Diceros bicornis minor: one gene and its partner. The protein of the gene in region 2 interacts with the protein of the main gene of each other region in a biochemical or structural test. Links are inferred from orthologs where the notes say so. Each region holds a gene or a part of one and is shown on either strand. Other genes may lie near its edges.

Region 1 (7,881 bases), on a different chromosome or scaffold from region 2:
TTTCTGTTTCACCTGGACATCAAAAAGTCCTAACGGCATTTAATCTGTAAGATTTCTTGAATCTCTGGTAGCCAATGTAGAAAGTCTTTAAGCAATAAGAGCTACCTTGGGGCACAAACTGAAAATTCCCTGTTTCAAATTCTTTTGAATTAATATCTTTTGGAGAATAGCCCACTCAACTTGATATATCAGAATTTTCAATTCTGAAGGTAGCAGGGATAATGTCAATTGGCACTTGCTATTTATTACACAAATAATTGTTCTCTTGGATGGCCTTTTGAAAGCTAGCACTTTTTAATCATTTTTTTGGCTATATCAGAACTGCAAGAGACATGTCAATTTAAGCAAACTTCAGGAGCAATAAACTAACAAACAGACTCTAGGTGGTGGTATAGGTTATTTTTTATCATGATGTTTTGCTCTTAAAACTGCAAGAGTCAGAAGAGCCTTTAGCCTCATTTAGACACTTCTTTATTGCGGACTTACAATATTTTAGGGTGTTTACATTAGTAAAATCCAAGTTCTGCAGTTTGCAGACACATGCAAGAAGTGAGTCCAACTAAGTCAAGTCTTTCCAAAGGCACTAAACCTGGTTTTCAACGACCTCAAAGGCACTGTAGAGAACTCCTTTGAGTAAAACCAACAATAAGCAGTCGTCTTCTTTTTTTTTTTTTTTCCAAATATATCTATTACTCACACTCCTAGAGCACTTTCAGGGCTAAGTATGGAAAGAGGTCTTTCCCCACCAGAATGTATGAAACAGACTAACAACCCTACAGCCTGTAGGGTAGCAGCTGTTCCACTGACTGACTCTTCTTTGTCTCTAGGAACTAATTCCAGGCAGAGAGAAGTTACCATCCCTGATGAAGCCACTACTCTCTGAATCAGTTAAACCCACTCGACATGACCAAACCGCTGGGCAAAACCAGAGCAACTAACTTCGAAGTTGAAAAACATTTCAACAGGCTCAAGGCAGCAACCCACACTTGGGTGCCAGGCAGATGAAGCACCGTTTATTTTAAAAGGTCCACTTATTTCAGTGTCTCTTCAACAAAGGTGGCAAACTGGTGATTAAACATTGAATAATTACATCAGGAAGATGCCACCCACTTGCTAAACCTATGATTCACTAATAAGCAGGTTCTATGCGATTCATAAATTTAAAGAATGATTTACCAAAGCCCTTTGCTTCACAAATTCCCCCCCGAAACGTAAAGAGCATTCATCATATATAAACCGACAACCATTTTCACTTTGGAAGACTACAGACGGTCTCTCTTCCTCTCAAGACAGTCCCCCCCCACACGCAATCTCACATTTAATCATTTACATTACCAGAGACAGACTCCACCTCAGTTCCACCAACTGAGTGAAAAGTCCTTGTAGCTAGGAACGTCTTAATTGTTTTTCCAAATAAAATGTCCTTTTAAAAACGCAAAAGTACTCATCATGCTGGTCTTTTACTATCTTCAGCACCCAATTAAATCACCAACGAGATAAAAGGTAGAAACTCCCGGAATGCTTCAGAGATCAACATGTGTCACGGACTCCCAGCTTGTTCGCCTCTAAGACACAGTTGATTCCTTTGTTCCTTCAGACTGAACACCAACTCTTGATTAAAATTTGGAAACTACTTTGGAAAGGATGGGAGGGTTTGCAGAATCTTTCCAGGGAAACCCTTCGTAAAACAATATCCACTAATAGTAAGAAGGATACAGAAGTAAGAGGAGAGAAAAGAAGCCTCCCAGGACCTCCACGGGACTCACCCGAAACGTGAGGCGGGTTTCTGGCTCAGGGGTAAAGTGATGGTTGAGGCCTCGGGTCCTGGGAGCCTCGCCCTCGGAGGGGAAGGACAAGTACCGACGGCCCGGGCCTGGGGGTCTGGGGTGGGCAGCGCGGCCCCTTTCCCTATTCACTTTTCCTGGCCCCGAGTCCGGCGAGCACGGCGCAGGGAGGCACTCGGGCGAGAGGCGGGGAGCTGCGCCCGGCGCCGCCCAGGACGCCCCGGGCAGCAGGAGCGAGAGCTGCGCGGCGAGCAGCGCCCGGGACTCGGGGCCCAGGGGCAGCCGAGCGGGGCGCGCCCCCGGCCCGGCCACCCGTGCCCAGCCGGCTCAGGGGACACGCCGCTCGGCACAGGGGCGGCACGGACGGGCCGGTGAGCCCGCGGCTAACTCCACAACTTGGCCGCCCCGCTGGCCGGGCCCCCGAGTTCCCGGGGAGATTCGGCCCCGGCTGGAGAGGCGCGATCTCCCCGGAAACGGTTCCTCCCGGCCGCCGAGGCCACCCCGCCGTCCGCGATCGCTCCCGCCGCCCCGACGCCCCCGCGGCCCTGCCCGCCAACGCCAGCGCCGCCGCGGGCCGCGCTCCGGGCCGTTTCCGGCGGCGCCGCCGCGGCCGCTCCCCGGAGCCCCCCGGCCGCGGCCGCCACTCACCCGAGGCCGCCGCGGCTCCGAGCCCCGGGCTCCGCGAGGCTCCCTCCGCGAAGGCGCCGCGCCGCCCCGTCCTCCCTCGGCGCCCCGGCCGGCTCTCCCCGCGCGCAGCAGCGCTGCCGGGCGCAGCGGCGGACGCAAGGCCACGGGCGGGCGCGCGCGGGCGGGCGCGGGGCCGGCTCGTCCCTCCGCCGCGGCCGCCGCCTCCTCCGCCGCCGCCGCCGCCTCCCGAGTTCGGGGCTCTGCTGCAATGTCTGCGAGGCTGACTTTGAGCGCCTCGCTCGCCGCCTGCCCGCAGCCGCGCTCCTCCCTCCGCCGCCGAGGCCGCCGCGGCCCAGTCCCTCCCCTCGCCGCTCCACGCCATTCAGCTGTTCAGCCAAGTTTCTTAACCCTTTTTTTCCCCTCCCGCCCATTGTCACCCGGGCCGCAGGCAGCCGCTCGGGGCCGGGCAGCTCGCGGGAGCTGAGCGGTCCCCTCGGTTTTGTGCTTATCCTCCTTGCCCGCCCTCCGGAGGGCCGGCGGGGGCTGCCGGGCCCCGGGCAGCGGAGGATCGCGTGGGCCGGGAGAGGTGGGGGCCCCTCGCGCCCGAGCCGGCCCCCTCCGCTCCGGCTCTGTCCAGCCGCCCCCGAAGCGCCTGGACAGCTCCTCCCGGAGGCCCGGGGCATCGTTCTGGCCACACGGGCCAAAGGCTCCTCTCGGGGACACAGCCTGGGGGCCGGGACGCCCCGGGTCCCCGCCTGGGTGCTGCCCTCCTCCCATGTCACCCCACACCACGCGCCCCTGGGCTCCCTCCCACCCACCCCCAATTTCCACCACCTTGTGATCTGTGTGTCCTGCTTTAATCCTGGGGGGCACAGGCACTAACTTCAGGTCACTCTGACTCCACGCCCAGCACGTAGTAGGCACCCAGGAATGAATGTGGAGTGACTCCAGAGGCAAACTGGGCAGGAGACCTGAGGAGTGCCCGGGGCAGCTCCTTGGACGGACGTAGGACCCAGGAGCAGGGTTTATCGTCAGCTGCTTTGTCACTGCGAAGTCACCAGCGGAGTCTGTCAGCGAATCTACATCATCCCTGGGAAGAATTTGACCCTACAAGACGAGGCAAAAAGAACAGGGCTGCCACTTCTTCGGCAGCTCTCTTCAGTTCAGTCTCCAGATAAGAAATAACAATTACATCACGAGGCCAGGGAGGCAGCGCTGTGGAGCCTCTCGGTTTCCTGCAGCCGAATCTCGCTGAACCCGCGTCTTAATTGGGGGGGACATGGATTGGTGAAGCAAGAGAGTGGAGGGAGGAGAGAGTCAGACGAAAAAGAATTTCCCCCTTCTCTTTGTATTTGCTGTTTTAAAATCTTATCCTCAACGCTGCCCAAACATCTAACTAGAACTATTAACACCCCTTCAACACCTCCCCAGATGTCAGGTTTCTTTTTGACTCCAGCGTCTAGCGTTTAGTAACTCGCCATGAAAAAATTACCAGGGGAAATGAGTGCCGTTGCTGAAATTGTTTTTGCTCGATATGAGAATGCTCAAGTACAGCTTAGCCTCACCCTAAACTCCGAAATGGTATGCCTGTGTTAAAACACTTATTACACAAAACAAATGAGTGGATGAGGCACTCCATTCTTATATGTAGGTTTTCATAGCCTTAAGAATTCGATAGCATTTGAAAATAGAGTTGCTAGTGCACTTAAAAAAAAAAAAAAAAAACCTATCCAAGTCATAAAACAGTATTCTATGCTTGTTATGTAATGGCTATCTTGTGCACTTAAAATTTCGTTTAACCTTTAAAAATATGAAGGAGAGTTTTGGAATACCTTCATAGTCTTAAAAGTGAAAGCCTTTTTTCAAATTAATGCTTAATAAATCTAGCACCTAGCACAGTCCTGGGCACATGGTAGGAATATTTTGCTTAATGATGATGGTGCATTTTAGAACAATTATTTTACATCACCCTAGTAATTCAACTGTGTGATCTGTTGCCATCTTATATAGTTTAAACTTCATGCGATGGCTTATTATTTGCATATACCACAGTTTGAAATCTGCTTAAGGCAACTTAGTAAAGTCTGCTGTTCTATATTGCATCATTTATCCAATATTGGATAAATGAGAGAACTGTTCCAGTTAGGTGATGATCAGCATAATTGGAGTATGGCCCTTTACGCAGTCAAACTTCTTTTTTAAAAAACTATTTTTGACTGTTACATGAAGATTTTCTAAAATGTATTATACATGTTTCTGTTTTCTTAAGTAGTTTATTGGACTTCGTTTGGCTTTTTCTTGAAAAGTCAGGGTTAATTTTATTAAAAGTATTTGTTGTTGTAGGTTGTAGTGGATTCAACAAATGCATCGACTTCCTGTTCTCTATCAGGCTTCTTCCTAGGTGTTAGGGACGCGCCCAGGAGGTATATAAGCCATCAATTGCTGCACTGATGGATTCCAGGATACTATGGCTTAGTGATTATCTCTGCCTTTTGTAGTTTCTCTCTCTCCCCCTTCACTAGCTGACAATCTGTTGTCCTTCCTCTGTTGCCAGCTTGCTTGCTTCTAATATTCTCCTCCTCCTCTGATTGGCAGCTTCTAGTCTGGTGCAGACTGGGAATGGGAATCCAGATAGCCTCACTTGTCACAATTCAGTCTAATGTAAGGGATTGATGTGCTCACCAAGGAGTAAGGCACATGAACCTTAATGCATAGATTTTGGGACCGATATTTGGACTACTCAAATGTTGCTTTGAAAAGCATTCTTTTTACTTCTTAACTGGGTTTGGATCATTGAGGTTGATAGATAACCTCCTGAAAAGTGAGGTACACAGTTAACCCAGCAAGCTGAGTATTGGTCCTACTCTCCAACACTAGTGTTAACAAGTCCACTGCCGTATGTTAGATGACTTAACAAAGCTGCTCACCTCTTATTATTAATCTATCTTCTCAACCCCACGGAAAGCCAATTGTTAAAATCCTGAACTCTTTTTGATAGTGCATTAGTGTTGAGTAAATTGCACACCTTTTGTAGAATTCATTTTTACTTAATGATGCTAATTGTGTTGGGGCTATTTTGTTGTTGTTCATTGTTTTTAAAAAATCAATACCTAAACTTCCTGGCTAAGAGAGTCATTGCAAGGATACTGGGGCATGTATGTAATATAAGAATGCCTATTAAGTAATTTGTATTTTGTACACAACTCCCGCTTTAACCAATTGTGATGCGAAAAAAGATGCCCTTCAGGTTATAAAGTTAAACGAAAGTATTTTTATAAAGCCAGAGTCCCTATGGGATCAGAGACTTATAGTTCAGGCTCAATATGTTTATCCACCACAAAGATGTAGTCTGAGAAAGGTATGCTTATGGTGTGCTCCCTGAATCTCTCCCATTATAGCATTTTTCCACTGGGTGTTTACTTGTCTGTATCCCACTCTAAATGCAAGCACTACAGACACAGAATCCATGTCCCTCTGGTTTGCATTTGGGTACCTCCACCGCCTACCCCTGTGCTCAGCAAACAGTAGGCATTTGGAGGATATCAGGCAAGATACTGTCATAGCGCAGAGGACAGAGTGTTTATTTCTACTTAGGGTGTGGGTGTGGGATGAGGGAGTTCAGAGAAAATTTTACAGGGAAAATAATGTCTCAGCTGGCTATTAAAAGGTAAGAAGAATTTGCCAAGTAGGCAAAGTGGGAATGGAGTTCTAATGGAAGGAAAAAGACTGTTTAGCAGTAAAGAGGTGTGAAGAAAACAAAAATGTACATTGAGAAGTATCAAACCCACATTATACACTATGAACTAGTGACTAATGAATTACGACAGCTGACAAAAATATATTCAGGTGGAACACCAGTGTAGTTATGCTGTTACAGTCCCTTAGTCTCGAGAGAAGTGCTGTCCAATAAAAATATATAAAGCGAGCCACAAACGTGAGCTACATATGTGCTTTTAAATTTTCTAGTAGCCACATTTAAAAAATAAAAAGAAACGGGTAAAATTAATTGTTATAATATACTTTCTTTAACCCAATATATCAAAATGTTATCATTTCAATGTGTACATAACATAAAAATTATTTATTAGATATTTTACATTCTTTTATTCACACTAAGTTTTCAAACTTCAGTGTGGTTTTACACTCATTGCACATAGATCTGGACTAGTCAAATTCAGATGCTCAATGCCCACGTGTGGCTAATGGCTGCCATATTGGACAGCACAGCTCAAGAGGACAGACGAAATCTTTTATAGTATAGTTAAAGGAGATTTTCTTACATTGAAAATCTAAATCTTGTTAAATTTAAGATTTTATTTGTGTTGATTACTTGTGTTTAGCTATACTATGTTGATATAGACCACTTTCTTGTGTCTCGGCTTTTATGCCAATTAGAGAATCAGCAAAGTTTACATTTTATGTACTGTGTCTTCATTAACCACACTGTAGTTACAGCTACTCCTATCTCTATTAACTCTGGTGGTGGACTGTAAACATAAACCGGCTTTATGGCGGAAATACAACACTATAAATTTGGAGTTGAATAAGCTTCAAGAAAGTCTTCCCTGGAACACCGAACTACCTCTATGCTAGTTACTGTCAAGCTTCTTCCTGGCTCTAGCAGCCCAGGGTTTTGCTCTTCAATTCTTCCATGCCCAGTTACTTGTGGACTATAAAATCCACCCCAGCCTTTGTTTGAGGCAGTACCTGCCTGAAGCTGCAGTGATAAGGATGTGCTGCAGCTCCCTGAGTACTGAGGAAGGTCTCAAGAGCTAAAATGAAGATGTTTAGACACCGTGTCTGCCGGTTACTGTGCAGTTTTCCCTAATGAGATTGGAGCCCTTTTACTTTCAATGGGGCTTGAGTGCCAAGGACTGACAAAACCAGGGCACTCAATTGCTACACTAAAATGAATCCTGAAAACTGGATCTTAAAGAAAAAGTCTGAAAATGATTGCATACACACAGCTGAAAGTGTGCAAGAAAAAGGCAATACTTCAGTGAAATGCAAATGTGGACGATGCCTTCTCATTCCCCAAAGAAAGAAATGTCCAGTATAGTTAGGGGGTCCAAAAAGCCAAGAAATCCCAACGAGGCTAAGGAGAACCTGTCAGTTTGGTGATGGGTCAGTTTAATATGTCTATACAATTGAAAGTAAATATTACATGGAATCCTATCCTTTTATGTAGAAATGGGTTATGTGGCTCTCACTAAGCAGTCCTTTCATAAATGAATATAAAATTTCTTTTTGTGATTTCACAAGCATACACCCCTATAAGAAATCAATTGGATAAAATATGATCCTATTAATTTTTAGAGATTTTATTCAGATAACCTTCAACTAAAGCAAAGCATATATCTGTTTTTCCAAATTATTCAGGGTTCTGTAGGGAAGTAAGCTATAAAGAAAACATGATGTATGTTTACCATTTGTGCAATTGTTTGAACCTCAAAAGAAATAGACATAGACT
Region 2 (8,073 bases):
TTCAGAAGGCAATGTGAAAATTCCTCCCCAAACTGTCCCACAGTCTTAGCTGCCCTAGATGAAACCACTTGTTTCAAGACACCTTAGTCTGGGCTTTGATTTTCATCTAAACCTCATATTTTTCCAGTCTTATTAGATAAATTAATCCATATGGTTACTCAAGTCTCCCCTTTTCTGGCTTTGGTTTCCAGTGGCATTAAATGGCAGTTTGTGATGGGGACACCAGAGGGCACTGACTGCCTTGAAAGTGGAAGCATGGGGCTGGGGTAGTCTTGAGGGAAGGGGGAAAAAGCTAAGTTTGATTCGTTTGGGAGATTGCTGTACTTTTATAACTCAAACATGTGCTTGGAATGCAAACCATGTGTGATATGAATGGTCTGAGAGCCAGTGACGAAGTCTGTGCTTCTCCCTGAGCTCTTCTGACTCCTTCTACCTTTCTGATATGGACTTGAGTTTGGGAACTTGATATGTGTACAAACGATCTGTTGGCCACTGTTTCATTCATGCTGCCCACTGTATCCTTGCAATGTGATCTGGGCTACAGCAGGTGGTATGGGATAGAAGAAGGGCACACAGAACCCTCTGAAATGCACACTAGCCACTGGTGTATGTAGCAGAGCATAGTCTGTAGACAGGAGTCTGAATGTCATACTCCCCCTCACACTCCTTTATTAGAGCATTCATTCCCTCTGAAGGTAATTTGCAAGTGGAAAACAGTTCTATACCTAGAAGCTTGGAAAGTGTCTGGGGCTATAAGGGTTAACAAGCATAATTGCAAAGATTGTCCGAAGGCTGATGGAAAGCAGAGACTGAATGGGATTGAGAACAGATGCGAGGCTTGATTTAAATTACATTTTATTGGATGCTGCAGCCTTAAGAGACGTGACTGCTTTACAGTTTGTTTCCACACTGTGGGCAGCTGCTGTCTGTTCTGTGTCCACAGTAGGATCCTGCCCAAAAAGGAGCGGCCTCCCCACCTCGTTGTGTTTGAGGCTTGGCGCCTTCCTCTTAACTTTAGGGCTTGAGTCAGGAACATGGCTTGACTCGCAGTGGGGCTGCTATGTATCCTCCATGGCTCTGAGCCAAGATTGCATTTGCAGATCCAAGGGGCCAAATTTTTTTCCCCTCTACCTCCCTTCTCTCCCTTTCCCCGGGTATTTGGAAATAGGGTTTTCTGTGTACTGGTTTGTCAGTTTCCTTTCCTTCAGTTCTCTCCCCACCGTCAATTTCTAGGTCATTGCTGCTCTTAAGACTTCAGCAATTGGAACAGGGTTGGTTCTGTCAATGATGCGTGAAGCAGACTTAGAGTCCCTGCTTGGCTTCCGCTGCCCTTGTGGGAGCAAAAGCTGATGTATGTTTGTCAGTGAAGTCTTAAGTGTAATTCAAACAGCCGAGGAGCAGATTGAGGGGAGGAAGAAAATCCTTTTCTTGCTGAAGCTGAGAGCTATGGGAAGGTGCTGGGATTTTTAGTGGGATGGGATGGGTTTGTGGTTACTAGTTTTTGCCAGGATCATAGGCTGTTTCACATAGAGTAGTGGCAAAAGATGCTGACCTACATTCTTCCTTTTGAAGGTGGTGGGGTGTGTGTCTATATCCTGGTTTATTTATTTTTCTTCAGAGAAGCAGATTAAGCTTCCATAGAGCGTTGGTGGGTATTGCCATGGAAAGAACATAGACACAATAAAATTGGTGTGAGTTTCAACCCCAGAGCTACCGCTGACATTTCTGGCTCAATGAAGACTTGCCTGTGGCTAGATAACTGGCAAGAGTGTGTGAGGTCCAAGCTACCCAGAGATCAAAAAATGTTGGCAGAGCTCTGTTCTCTCTTCCCCACTTTGGTCCCTGCCTTTATTAAGTGCCCTTTTAAGATACACCAATAAGAACTGGGAAGTAGGAATGAGACACGACTTGGAGATTTTTAAAAATATGTTTTGAGAGGTGTTACCTTGACTGTGGAGGAAGACCAAAAGAGAGAGCCAAGATTGAGATTTTATTTACATTTGTGTCTGTCTCCAGCACTTAGTGCAGAGCCCAGTACCTGGTAGGTATTCAGTAAGCAATTGTTGAATGAACAGAAATGAACCAAGTTGCTGCCGTTCCTTCCGTCTTGAGGACAGTTCTGATCTGGAGGTAAACATGGCTGATGCTTTTGCACTGACGTAGAACAGGCCCCTGTAAAAGAAGGGTGCTCCATCTTACAAAATGTGGAGGATTTATTGGCCTCACATATGCGTTCCAATCGCTCCCTCTGATGTAGTGGTATTTTGCTTAAGGCAACTTCCATGTTGCTCCCAGGAAGCCTTGCCTATGGGGAGAGTCCTACCTACCAGGTGGGAGGAGGGGTACCTGTCTGGATGTTACCTATGTCCCTAGAGATTGGCCAGAAGCTGTGCCTCTAGGTGGCAAGGGATTAAGAAGGAACCCACCTTTGATGTCCCACATTTTCACTTTTGGGGAAAGTTGTAATCTTGGGTTCCTCCTAAAAAGATAAGGTGCTCTCTAAGACATTCTCTTTTAAGCTACCGACAGAGGCAGGTCTCCCTCTTCTCAGAAGAAAGGCTTCTGTAGGGGAGAAGGCGTGACCTCTGGCCTCTTCTTCATTTTTAACCCCAACCCCAAGGTACTGGCAGTAGAAGCTAACTGGGTGCAAGGGGCCTGGGTAAAGGCTGTCTGAAGACTGGCGAAAGGAGAGAGCCAGCTCCTTTTTTAAAAAGCTCTAATTGAGTTCTGAATCAGCCTCACTCCCTTTGATCCCTCCTCTGTTTCCCACACTGCCTGAAACAGCTAGATCAGCATTTTATAACAAGGGTGCGCCTGCTCCCCGCACCCGCCCCCCCTCCTGACGCTCTCTGCTGCCGCCATCCACTGCTTGTCTCCTTCAGTTAAGATAATGAAGATGCTGAGAGATAAAATGTGTATTTAATAAGGGTGGGGGTAGGGAGGCAGAAAGGGGCAGCCAGGGCCTTCCCTAGTTTGGGGCCTAGCCAAGACTCAAGCTGAAAGCAAAGCTAGAGTAAAACTTGGCCAAAGGGTGTGGGGGTTTCTGGGCCTCAATCCAGCTGACTTCACTGCCTGCTGTTTGCCCTAAATTCCCCCACCTCCAGCCTCTCACCCCCACACTCCTTTCTTTCCTCTCTTCATCCTCCCAGTGGGAAAAGGGAGACTTGCTTCAACTTTATTTTCAGCTGGTAACTTGGCCTTTGGTGCAGCACCCCCCAACCCAGAGTCAGTTGCAAGGTCAGCTAGGGCAGCCCCCACTGGCCTAGGGCTGTAGAAGCTGTGGGTTCACAGTGGGGGGTGAAAAAAGCTAGAGTTAATGAAGACCAGCTGTTAGTCTGGGTTCTGCCTACAGTTAGCTGGAGACCAGCCGTTGGTTGTTGGAGGTACGAGGGTACGTGACCTCCATCCCTGGGCACAAGGATATCCTGTGGCAGCTGAGGATTGTGCTGCTCTGAGCTTGGTTGTATCCTTAGTTTGTAAGAGAGTAGTCTGTTTCCCTCTTTCCTTGCTCCTCCCTTCCCCAAATAACACTCAGCCCTTATTGAGCTTTATAACTGTAGTGGTGGCTCAGCTGAGATCTGAGGATCTCCAAGCTCTTGTAAACACTCATTAACTGCCTGGGAAGAACCAAGAGCCCGGTGTAACAGCTGGGAGGGAACTGAGGCACATTAGGGTGAAAGGCTTGACCTGAGCTCATCCCATGGACTCCACCCTGAGGCCCTTGTCCTTCTGTACTATCTAGCTTCTTTCCCCATTTTTCTTGCAAGACAGAGAAGAAGGTGGAGGCAATGCTACTGCCCTCTCCCCTTCTAGGAAGAGGCCATGCTTTCTCCCTTCCCTCAAGTCTGTCCCTGACTTCCCCTGGCCCTTTACCCCATGACGTTTTCCCTGCTCTGCTGCTGCGGGAGATATGTGCAACTCTCCTTGCAAAATGTTCTCAATCCAGCCCCCTGCAGCCTTCCTATCCACCTTTCCCTGGCCCACCTGGCCCACCAAACCTGAGTTCTCCCTTTGGAGCTACTGAGAAGATCGGCTATCCTAAACTGGCTCTGTAACCTTGAAGTTGATCTAAGTGTGTTAAGAGGCCCCTCTGCCCCCTATATTTATCCCAAATGGTACCTGGGAAAACATTCTCTTTAGATTGTTCATCCTGGTAAAGTTTCAGGATGGGCTGAGTAGGGCCACTAGTTGACCCCTAGATTCTGCACCTCGTTCTTCCACTGACAATTGCCATTTCTGGTAATGGATGGAGCTCAGTCACCCAGCCCCACCTGCTCACACTCTCACTGTATATGCATAATCTGCATACCTCAACACTCCCAGATACACCTCAGCCTAAGGGTATAAAACAGCAGTTTCCAACTGCCATCCAAATTATACTGCCCTTTTTACTTACTGGAAATCAAGGGGTGGCCTTCTTGGCATTTAGGAATAGTGGGGAGGGATGAGGAGACTGCTACATCTACGAGGGATAGGGTAGAAATGAGCACCCTTCCAAAATGAATGCCCCCTTCCCCAAATTCTCCATAGCTAAGTGGCTTAGCTGGAGTGATAGGGAAAGAGATCTTAACCCCATCTTCAGCACCAAAGCCCAAATCCATCTGCTTGGGGCAGGCAGGAAGAAATGTCTTTTTTCTCCTGTACTGTATTATCCTATCCTCAGCTAAAGTCATCCATGTGCTGTGTATTTGAGATTGGGGACTGTTCCTGTCTCCAGCCCATGACTCAGATTTTCTCTCAGTCTTTCTCCCAGTGAATTCTTTCTCTCCCATCAGTCCTCAGCTCTGCACCCGATGACCCAGTCGGGGCTGGTGGAAGAGGGCGGGGAGAGCTTACTGTGTGGTGACTGGGCTTTAGGACCCAACGGGAACCTGAGCCTCTTGCAGCAGCCTAACCCAGAAGCAGAGGGGAATCCTGAATCGAGCTGAGAGGGCTTCCCCGGTTCTCCTGGGAACCCCATTGCCCTCATGCCAGCACGCACCTGGCAGGACCACAGGTAGGACCACACACACCCCTTCCCAATTCTCCCTCGGCTGCTTGCCGCCGGGCCTCTTCGCTTCCGATCTGGTCGTTTCCCTCTCGCCAGTTGAGGCTTTCCCCGTCCCTCCTCCCCCACCGCTCACTGTAGTCCTGGGAGGTGGGAGCCTGGGAACAGTGGGGTGTCTGAAACTCAGAGCCCCTGCACCCTCCAGCGCCTTTCCTGCACTTCCCCCGAGGCATTCCCTGTTCTCTGGCTAAGAATAGAAAGTGAGGGGAAGGTCTGCTCAGGCCTCACGCCCTTGCACCCTCCTTTGCAGTATTGCCTAATACCCCTTCCCCCACCTCACCTCGACAGGAGAATTGGCAGTGCTGGGGTAATAGAGAACAGAGGGAGCAGGAGAGGGACCTGAGCCCCCCTGGGGGATTTCTCTCTTGCTTCCTCTCTGCCTCCCAAGCCCAAGAACTCAGGACTTCACCCCCTCCTCCCTACTCACCTTGTAGGGGAACTAACGTCCCTTTCCAGGCTCATCTCACACTTGGGTGGCCAAAGCCTTTGCTGGAGAATGGTGGAGGTTGTGAGCGGTTTTTGGTGACCTTTTCCTCTGGGGAAAGTTCTTTCAGCTTAGAGCCCCCATCCCTGCCAACACCTCAACGCCTGTAGGAAAGTCCTCCACCTGCCCCCCCACCCCCTGTGTGTTTGTGTGTGTGTGTGTGTTTGTGTGTGTGTGTGTGTGTGTGTACCATATACTTGTAAGATCTATAAGCTTTGGATAGAGGTGGCTGCGTGCATTGAAGGGGAGAGATCCCAGAGTCTGGCCAAGGCCAGAACAGGCTCAGCCCAGATGGCTGGGAATGGGGGTGTGGACCACATCCAGAAGGCCACCCAGCCATGCCAGCAACCTGGGCTCCTCGGCTTTCAGAGCCTCAGGCTCATGGTGTTACCCTGAAGCTTCTGCCCTCCTGCAGGCTCTCGGGGAGAGGGCTGGATGGCACCTACTGTTTACAGTGGCTTGTTTCTCTCTCCAGCGGGGGACTGACAAGCCCTGCTCTCTGAAGATCTAGGGCACCTCATTATGGTTTGGTGGGTTTGCAGGATTAGTGTATGAGTAACTCTGTGTGTGAGTGTGTATATTGCCTCTGGGTGTAGCGGACTGGGGAGGGGAGTGATAGAAGAGACTGGAAACACTTTGGGGGAACCCCTTTAGCTCTCTGTGTGTTGGAGGTGGGTGCCATGTCCCTATCTGGTAACTCTGTCTAGGTGTGGGGTTGGTTTGGAGGAAAGGGTGGAGATTGGAGTAATTTCAGACTTAGTTCTGCTCTTGACCCAGGGAGAAAAGTAGAGATTCTGAGTGCAAGCAGTGGACTGAGAATCAGAGGCCTGAATTTGAGACTCAGCCCTGTCATTTAACTATGTGCATTTATACAGGTCTCTAAGCCTCTGTTTCTTTACTTGTAAAAATGATGATCAGTAACAAGCCCCGCTTGCCTGGTAGAGATAATGCTATCAAGATGCCTTAAGACAGTATATTGTAAAGCCCAGTGCAAATGGTAGTTATGGCTGGAGTGCAGAGGGTGGGGAGGGTTCTAGGATGGGATTCTCTTCCTAAATCTAGGTCAGTCTCTCTGCCTTCAGTTTCCTTCCCCCATCCTTGCCCATCTGGGGAATGGAGGAACCAGGCAGGGCTGTTGCCCCAGGGTTCTGCAGAATTCCCCTAATGCCAGTTGTAGCTGATGCCAGAGCGCCTGTGGTCAGAGAGGACAGATCTCTCTACCAGGCTTTTCTTCCTCTGGGGCTCCACACCTTCTCCCCCAAGCCCTGTCTCCACCTTCCTTCTGCCATTCCTGCTCCACGTCCTTGTCCCTGTCTCTCCCCTGCCCAGTGGCCTCCTTGTCCGGCTCACTGGGCAGGAGCCCTAATCGGATTCGACAGCTGAGATGTGTGTGGCGGCTGAGAGCAGGCGGGAGGGAAGCCAGTGGGAGGATGGTATGAGGGCTGCCCCTGGCACTGCCCAGGCCTCCCAGGCACCACCTTGGGCCTGCTGACTCCCGGTTTGGCTTGGCCCTGGGGAAGGGGTGCCAGAAGAAGCTCAGGAATGAAGGGGCTGGGGTCTGAAGATTAGGGGAGTGGGAAACACACCCAGGACCCCAGGACCTCTTGGATATTTGGTGGCCTTAATGTCAGTATCTCTGACTCTGACAGGGAGGAGAGGACAGCAGGTGAGAGCCAGGCTACCCCCCCTGCCCCCCCCCCCCCCCCCCGCCATCCCCATGGCACCACTTTCTTCTCTCTTCTTATTCAGAAATGTGTTCCCTTTCCCCATCCAGCCCCTTTGGCCAGTTCTCCTTATGGGGCTCGTCTGGGAGCTGCTAGGGGCACCATGTGTCTACCTCACTTGGGCTGTTTCCTCCCCTCCAAGGTATTTCTCTCACTCACTCTCTGGGCTGGGTGCCAGGACTCCTGGGTTTCCTGCCTGCCTCATGGTGCAGGGCTGCCCTGCAGGCCTCCAGAGAGTCGCTAAGCTGGTTTCCTTCCTCCTGTATGAGGAGGGCCTTCTCCCAGGGCTGGGAGGTGTCAGGAATCCCAGGTGGGATAAGGGTGGGTGCACTGTAGCCCCTGGCACCATAGCACCCTGATCCTTCCCTCCTAGCCTCTGACTCAGCTTGGAGGCAGCACATGCCCAGCCTGGCAGGCATGGCCTGTTCTCACCTTCAGGCTTCCATCTTTACATGTGGAAGCCAAGATTTTCTGCTATCCTTTTTAGCTTTTTCCCCATGGTATCTGGGGGTGGCTCTCAAAATCCCTATGTCTGCACCCACACATTTTGGGGAGCAGGGGATTAGCATAATTAAAGCTGGGGCACTATTTTGTCTTCCCTCCAGCTGGGCCAGGGTGAAGGAAACCAGCACAAACTTCCCCGTGCCAATTCTCTCTGCCCTCAAAAGACCAGCCCGTGGAGCCAGGCCCTGCCCTCTCGGTGCCCACAATGTGGTTGGCACTGATTTGTCAGAAATTGGAAAGGTTTCCCTCTAGACCGCTTGCCTCCTCTCTCCTCCTCTTGCGGGGTAGGGACAGCTCTGTGATTGTAGGCACTT

The links.
Region 1: the proteins of RARA (region 2) and NRIP1 form a complex in vitro, tested with the Homo sapiens proteins (4 studies listed by BioGRID). The link is inferred for Diceros bicornis minor from reciprocal best matches to the Homo sapiens genes RARA and NRIP1.

What each region holds. Positions count from the first base shown.
Region 1 is NC_080766.1:17,394,868-17,402,748, forward strand, and holds the start of NRIP1 (nuclear receptor-interacting protein 1), read right to left. Parts: upstream 3,544-7,881; 5' UTR 3,246-3,543; intron 2,705-3,245; exon of another isoform or gene 2,433-2,704; intron 2,415-2,432; exon of another isoform or gene 1,767-2,414; intron 1-1,766. UniProt on the Homo sapiens protein: Modulates transcriptional activation by steroid receptors such as NR3C1, NR3C2 and ESR1. Also modulates transcriptional repression by nuclear hormone receptors.
Region 2 is NC_080757.1:39,814,215-39,822,287, forward strand, and holds the start of RARA (retinoic acid receptor alpha), read left to right. Parts: upstream 1-4,892; 5' UTR 4,893-4,996; intron 4,997-8,073. UniProt on the Homo sapiens protein: Receptor for retinoic acid. Retinoic acid receptors bind as heterodimers to their target response elements in response to their ligands, all-trans or 9-cis retinoic acid, and regulate gene expression in various biological processes.